Oryctolagus cuniculus: one gene and its partner. The protein of the gene in region 1 interacts with the protein of each later gene in a pairwise test. Links are inferred from orthologs where the notes say so. Each region holds a gene or a part of one and is shown in the gene's direction. Other genes may lie near its edges.

Region 1 (4,259 bases):
TGGAAGAAAACAGTAGTCCACCTTGATCAAGAAATGTGACTCTTCAAGGCTTGGTTTCTATTGTGTTTGAGAAAAATTACGCACTATGGGGCCGGCGCTGTGGCACAGCAGGTTGAAGCCCCAGCCTGCAACGCCAGCATCCCATATAAGCGCTGGTTTGAGTCCCAGCTGCTTCTCTTCCGATCCAGCTCTCTGCTATGGCCTGGGAAAGCAGTAGAGGAAGGCCCGAGTCCTTGGGTCCCTGCATCCGCGTGGGAGACCTGGAAGAAGCTCCTGGCTCCTGGCTTCGGATCGGCTCAGCTCTGGTCGTTGCGATCATTTGGGGAGTGAACCAACGGAATGGAAGACCTCTTTTTCTCTGACTCTACCTCTCTCTCTCTCTCTAACTCTGTCTTTCAAATAAATAAAAAAGTCTTTAAAAAATATGCACTATGTCTTCACCCATGAGATAGAAGATCTTCCATCTGGGGTGTGTGTGTTTGGCACAGCAGTTAAGATGTCCTCTTACCCCTGTTCCATGGGGTTTGATACTGCCACCCGTTCCTGCTAATATCCACCCTGGGAGGCAGCTGTGATGGCTCAAGTTATTGGACCCTTGCCACCCACATGGGAGACCTGGATTGAATTAATGGTTCTGGGTTTCTTTCCTGGTCTAAGATCAGCTGTTCTGGACATTTGGGGAGTAAACCAGTGGGCGTAAGATCGCTGTCTCTGCCTTTCAAAGAAATGAAAAAAAAATTCTTCCCTCTGCCAAAATACCTTGGAATAATTGCAATACATGACAGGGGTTAGGGAACGTCCTGGAATGGCTTTAAAAATCAGTGCCCATATCATTGATTGTTGCATCCTGCTTCTCTCCCTGACTGTCCAGGAGTTCCTTTAGTGAAGACAGCATTAAAAAAAAAAAATAAAAAAAATCTTAGCAGGCTTCCTCGGCCTCTGCCCGCTGCAGCCCTTTGTCTCCTGAACGGGAAGAAGATGCATTGTAGTTTAGAAAGGGGACGGCAATGCTTCAGCAGGTCTCGTCTGCAGGGGAGATGACCTTACAGGCAGTGAGCTACTGCTTAGCGACGGGAGCGTCAGGAGGCAGCATGGCCGCCTGGAAAAAGCCACGGGAGGGTTTGCTGCCTGAAGTCTCGTGCAGTCCAGACTGAGAGGCAGCGACAAGCGAATGGCCCTTAGGTAGACGCCGAGACAGCTCGTTCGCCTGGGCTAACTGCCAAGACCCACGCTTGGGCCAGTGAGGGACCAGTTGTGGGTGGGCACTTTTTACATCCGGGCATTGGGAGAGCCTGTTAGCCAATCCGCGGAGAGGCCGTGGTGACATCACCGGCCGCGCTGTGGCCTGTCTCGCGACGTGATCCGGCAGCGCCGGAAGCTGTGAGGCACGGCTGGAGTAACGTGAGCGCGTCGCTCTGTGTCGCCGAGCGGTAAGGCAGTGGTAGGCCTGCCTCTCCTGGCTGGGTTGAGAGCTGCGGATGTGGGCGCTAGGTCCGTGCAGCCACTACGCTTGGGAGACGTGTCCTCACGGACGCTCTCGTGGCTGTTGCGTCTTTGAAGACGTTGCCTCTTTCTCCCTTCAGCTCCCGGGCGCCGTTTCAGCAGGCGCTCGCGGTGGTCTCTGCCCCACTTGGCGTTAGTTCTCGCGTGTCCCTGACCTCTGTATTGAGCTTGGACCCAACGCAAGCAGAACACGGACTAATTAGAGAGCGGGCTCTGTCCAACCCAAGGAGGCGGCCCAGCTTGTCGGCAGGGACAGCGTTTCCGCCAGAAGCGCTTTCGAAGGAGCTCGAGGGTCCTTCACAAACTTCTCAGCGGCTCTTAGGAAAGCCAGACCGAGCAAGCCTCTTCCCCTAGAGACCGGGGCTAGCGGCTCAGTACAGTAGAAAGATCTTTCGCATTTGGAAGGAATGTGGTCCAGGTTTGGAGCCTTCTGGGAGTGTGGCTTATGTTGGGAAGTGGGGAGAAGCACAGGTATAGGTTTGTGCCCGTGCACCTTACACGTTGCTGGCCGATCATCTTATTTTATTTATTTATTTAAAAGGTAGAGTTACGGAGACGCAGAGGCAGCGAGAGAGAGGCAGAGACAGGCAGAGGTTTTCCATCTACTGGTTCACTCCCCAGATGGCCGCAGTGGCCGGAGCTGAGCCCATCTAGAGTCAGGAGCTTCTTCTGGGTCTCCCACGCGGGTGCAGGGGCCAGGGACTTGGGCCATCCTCTGCTGCTTCCCCAGGCCATAGCAGAGAGCTGGATTGGAAGTGGAACAGCTGGGACTCAAACTGGCGTCCATATGAGATGCCGGCACTGCAGGTGCTGGTTTTACGCTCTAGGCCACAGCCGCTCCTAGATGATGCCTTTACCCGTTCTCTGCTTCTGCGTTCATCATACCTTCACTGTCAACAAGAACGATGATGGTGTTGCCTGCTTAGTTTTGCCAGACGCTGAGTTTTACACCTGTCTCATTTAGCCCTTGTGACAAACGTAGAGGAATTTTATTTGAGAAGGGTTTAAAGCTTCAGAGGTTAAATAACTTGACTGAAGCCATGCAATGAGTAGATGGTGGAGCCCAGATTTGAACTCAAGGTGTCCAACTTAAGAGCCCTTGAGAGGCCGGTGCTGTGATGTAGTAGGTAAAGCCACTGCCTGCAGTGCTGGCATCCCAAGTGCTGGTTCAAGTCTTGGCTGCTCCACTTCGGATCCAGCTCTCTGCTATGGCCTGGGAAAGCAGTAGAAGGTGGTTCAAGTTCTTGGGCCCCTGCACCTGTGTGGGAGACCCAGAAGAAGCTCCTGGCTCCTGGCTTCGGATCTGCGCAGCTCTGGCCATTGTGGCCATTTGGGGAGTGAACCAGTGGATGGAAGACCTCTCTGTCTCTCTCTGCCTCTGCTCTCTATAACCCTGACTTTCAAATAAATAAATAAATCTTTTTTTTTTTTTTCTAGAAGAGGCCTTGAGGGTCACTACCCTTCAGTGATTTTCTCTAGTTGTTCATTAAAGATTCAAAGATTTACTTACTTGAAAGGCAGAATTAGGTTCACAGGGAGATTTTCCATTCATTGATTCACTTCCCAAATGGCTACAAAGGCTCGGGCTGTGCCAGGCCAAAGCTAGGAGCCCGGAGCTTCATCTGGGTCTCCCATGTGGGTGGCAGGTGCCCACCTACTTGGGCCATCTGCTGCTGCTTTCCCAGGTGCATTAGCAGGGAGCTGGATTGGAAGTGGAGCAGCCAGGTCTTGAACAGTTGCTAATATGGGAAGCTGGTCTTGCAGGTGCTGGCTTAGCTGGATGTACCACAGCACTGGCCCCTGTTGTTATGAATTCTTTTATGGAGAAAGGGTTTTAGATGTTTTCCCTTCTTAGAAAATCACTTAGGTTACACCTATCTGCTTTTCCTGTAGTCTCAGAGGATGGGTTGTTTCTCTGATGAAGGCAAAATTTTTAATCTTCTAACCTTTTTAATGCTTTTTATAGGAGACCTTGTTTTGTTTCTTTTTTTAAAGGTTTTTATTTAATGAATACAGATTTTATATGTACAGCTTTTAGGAATATAGTGTTTCTTTCCCCCATTCCTGCCCTCCCATCCCACCTCCTACTCCCTCTCCTATTCCATTTTTCATTAAGATTCATTTTTAATTCACTTTATATACAGAAGACCAACTCTGTACTAAGTAGAGATTTCCACTGTTTGCACCCACACAGAGACACAAACTATAAAGTACTGTTTGAAGACAGGTTTTGCTGTTAATTCTCATAGTACAACCTCATTAAGGATAGAGGTCCAACATGGGGAGTAAGTGCACAGTGACTCCTGTTGTTGATTTAACAATTAAGACTTATTTTTTTTAAAAGATTTATTTATTTTACTTGAGAGTCAGACTTACACAGAGACAGAGAGAGAGAGAGGTCTTCCATCCGCTGGTTCACTCCCCAGTTGGCTGCGCTGATCCAAAGCCAGGAGTCAGGAGCTTCCTCCTGGTTTCCCACGCGGGTGCAGGGGCCCAAGGACTTGGGCATCTTCCACTGCTTTCCCAGGCCACAGCAGAGAGCTGGACAGGAAGTGGAGCAGCTGGGTCTCGAACCGGCGCCCATATGGGATGCTGGTGCTTTAGACCATGGCGTTAACCCTCTGTGCCACAGTGCCGGCCTCAAGACTTATTTTTGATGTCAGTGACCACCCGAGGTTCTTGACATGAGCTGCCAAGGCTGTGGAAACCTTTTGAGTCCACAAACTCCGTTGGTATTTAGACAGGGCCATATGCAA
Region 2 (3,813 bases), on another chromosome or scaffold:
AAGAGCACACATTTTCTGCTCTCCTGGGTTTCACAGCCTTGGCGAAGAAGACGCCCTAAGAATTTGCTGTAATTGGTTCCATATGTTCCTTTTCCTCCTTTGTGAAGTCTGACTTCTCTGCGTCTCTAGATAAGGAGGGTTGTTGAAAATATATGGACATACAAACAAGAGTTAGCATTTTAACCGTTTTCTTTGTAATTATCCATTAAATAGATATACATTTATATATCATGACTGATATGTGTGTATTATATATATATGATATAAAATTAGTAGGGTGCTGGGCTGGCGCTGTGGCATAACCAGTAAAAGCTGCCGCCTACAGTGCTGCCATCCCATATGGACGCTGGTTCAAGACCTGGAAGGCCCCTTTCCAATCCAGCTCTCTGCTATGGCCTAAGAAAGCAGTATAAGATAAGGCCCAAGTCCTTGGGCCCCTGCAACTATGTGGAGACCCGAAGAGGCTCCTGGTTTAGGATTGGCCCAGCCCCAGCCATTGTGGCCATTTAGGGAGTGACCCAGCGGATAGAAGACCTCTCTCTCTGCTTCTGCCTCTGCCTCTCTGTAGCTGCCTTTCAAATAAATAAATAAATCTTTAAAAAAAGTACTAGGACACCTATGTGGAACAGCAAACAAATAAGTTTGCTTTCTCTGCTGTATAGATATATCGGGAGATAGCTATGGCTCATTTGAGTACTGTAGGAGTCATACATGAGAGAATTTTACACTTTGCCTTATATATCTAAAATTGAGGACATGTAGTGTTTCACATTTCTGATTTCATTAATCGCTCTTTAGAAACATCAGATAGGATACTTTTACTTATTATACATCTCCATGTGTGTGTGTGACTGATGTGTTTTTTGTATGCATGAGTGCTACGAGGTTATAAGGATGTAACAAGTAAGTCATGTTCTTGTTCTGAAGCCATTCTTAGTCTACAGGACAATCAAGCAGATTAGGTCCATGACTTTATCACAGAACAAGTTTATGGTTGTTTTCATGGGAATATTGAGCAACACTGAGGAAACCAGTGGCAATTATTCATTTGAAGTTTCTCCCATAAAAGCATTCTTTTATAACTAAGCCATAGATGTAACCAAAATGATTACATGTAGGCATTTATTTGTCTTTCATGCTTTATTTGTATCAATTTTCAATTTTGGTCCATATCTCAATACCTAAATTACTGACCTGAATAACCAGTGACCTCTAGTTACTTCTTTAATTGCCTTTATGAAACTTCTAAGGTAATGAATGCATATGAACACATGATTTTTAATGGTAATTCGCTTCAAAAGTTTTCTTGAAATTTAAGTATTACATTGAATAATGAGGCAGCTAAGAAAAACGCTGTGATTTGTTTATTTACTCTTCTAGATTTGAAAAATGCGTGAGTGCCAAGGAAGCTTTGGAGGCTGATCTGTACAGACGGTTTATTCTGGTGTTGAATGAGAAGAAAGCAAAGATCAGAAGCTTGCATAAATTGTTAAGTGAAATTCAAGAACTAGAAAAGAACACCGAACACGTAAGGTATCTTGGTGCTTATATTTTTGGATGACAAGTACATGAATTTAAGCAGAATTCCTTTCCAGGCTTAATGCAGTTTAGGTGCCAACTTTTTAGTGCTATGAGATCACTGGGTATTCTGAGGTTGGATGCTCTACCCATTAGGGATGGCAGCTCTCTGTCTGCCTACTCTTTTAAGTACATCTAAGTGATATAATTAGCAAGAGGCTTATCTATATGGTATTTGTTTAGTTCTGAGACATCACTGAGAAAGAAACAAATTTATTTTTTTGAAGAAAGCTTTTATCTTCTATAAAACTGCCAGATTGTCACTGCGTGTTTGTCTTACTGATATCCAAGCAGGAACTAAGGGCAGAATCACATTGCTGATGTTAACGACCAAGGAGTACTCAGTTTTATCTAGTCATCTCTCTCCTTCTGTGGACTTCTCTCTGAGAGTGGATGCGTACTTGATTCTCAAGAAGGAAACCTAGGTGACAAATGGCTTGCATGACTTTGGACAACCGTAGGTTTCATGGGCATTACCAGGTACAGATTAGAGTCTGTTGCATTGAATCTGAGAGGAGGCACACATGTGCTAATGACAAACTGTAAAAAACAGCACATTTGATGTCAGCTGGTTTAGCTGGTTGGTGTAGCACTGATACCTATTAGTCTGTGGCTTTGGGCAAGCCGTTTCAACTTCTTCCTCACAATAAGGGTAAAGGTAACAGGCGCCTTCTCAGGATTTTAGGGCGACCAAATGAAACACAGAATTCCATTGAGATGGGAAAGTGCTAAATGCTTTGCAATCCACAGAGAAAATTTTGCAGAAAAGTATTTTGGTATAAGAAGAACCTGATTGTAAAGTTAATGATACTGAGCTCTGAATACCATTCAGATTATTAGGTAACAGAGACATTTATCTTAAGAGAGTTAATATACAGTCTCCAAAGTAAATTTACCTAAAACATATATATTCCAATACATATTTTCATAATTAGGATCTTTTTCCTAGAGTTTTTTTTTAAATATTTGTTTATTTATTTGAAAGGCAGAGTTAAAGAGAGCGGGAGAGACAGAGCAAGAGAGAGGGAAAGAGAGAAATTGATCTTCCATCTGCTGGTTCACTCCCCAAATGGCTCAGTGGCCGTGGCTGGGCCAGGGCAAAGCCAGAAGCCTGAATGTCCATCTGGGTGTCCCACATGAGTGGCAGGGGCCCAAGGACTTGGGCCATCATCCGCTGCTTTCCCAGAGCTGGATCATAAGTAGAGCAGCGGGAACTGGAACTGACACCCATGTGGTTTGCCTGCCTCACGGGCAGCGGCATAGCCTGCTGCACCGCAGTGCTGGCCCCGGAGTAATCTCTGTAATTACTTAATGCTGAACTTGCTGCGCAGCCAGCGTGAGCCCAGTGATTTTCAGTGCTCCATTTCGCCCTTCGTAGGGAGACCACAGCCTGCTCTGAGCCGACTGCTGACCGAGATGCAGTCTATGATGCGAGCACTGATGAGGAAGGAGAGAACCTGGCTGGGCCCTCTGTGGCGGCTGCAGGTAAGAGTGATAGACGCTCGTTTCTACCGTTGAGTGCCTCTCGCTTGGGCTTCGTATTCTAGTGATAAGAAGTTGTGATGGAGAACGTTGGGGATTTCTATTCTAAAACCTCAAATGCTTTGTTGTGAGATGTAGCAGTTCAGGCACATGTGTATACACACATACAGCACGGTATACTATTTCTGGTTAAACAAGGATGCATAACTCATAAGAAGACAGGACTCCGTGCGAATCTCACCACCTGAAAGCTGGCTTGTCTTTACCATTTGAGATCTTGTGTAGCGAGACCCCATGGTGGAGCTCTGAAGTGAGGTCTTCAGCTATGCAGTCGCTGACTCAGCCGCAGGTCTTCTCTCATTCTTCTGCAAAGGGGCTGCGGTGAAGTAGAGAAGAATGGAAAACGGGCAGCTGAGGTTCCCTGATCCTTACACAGTCCCTTGGGCCAGGTGCCCAGCAGGTGTTCACCCGATGGGTTTTTTTCCCAGAGTTTTATAGATCTCTTAGCAGCAGTGCAAGCTGGAGTTTGTGACCCATGAACTCATTTTATAGTCACATGGTTCTGATCTAAACCCATTAGTATAAAAAGAAACTGTTTGAATCACTTATTTAGAAAATATTTTTGAATACCTTTTGTATACCAAGAACTTTTGTGTGCAGTAAAGAATAAAACACAAAAATCTGGGCCATTGTGTGGTTTAAGTTCTTGGAAAGGAAACAGCTAAGATGATAAAGAAATTCGATGCAAAGTGT

The links.
Region 2: the proteins of APTX (region 1) and XRCC4 interact in binary tests that used the Homo sapiens proteins (3 or more experiments, as listed by UniProt). The link is inferred for Oryctolagus cuniculus from reciprocal best matches to the Homo sapiens genes APTX and XRCC4.

What each region holds. Positions count from the first base shown.
Region 1 is NC_091432.1:196,420,812-196,425,070, reverse strand, and holds the start of APTX (aprataxin), read left to right. Parts: upstream 1-1,377; 5' UTR 1,378-1,910; coding exon 1,911-1,921; intron 1,922-4,259. UniProt on the Homo sapiens protein: DNA-binding protein involved in single-strand DNA break repair, double-strand DNA break repair and base excision repair.
Region 2 is NC_091445.1:6,370,728-6,374,540, forward strand, and holds part of XRCC4 (DNA repair protein XRCC4), read left to right. Parts: intron 1-1,380; coding exon 1,381-1,533; intron 1,534-2,956; coding exon 2,957-3,063; intron 3,064-3,813.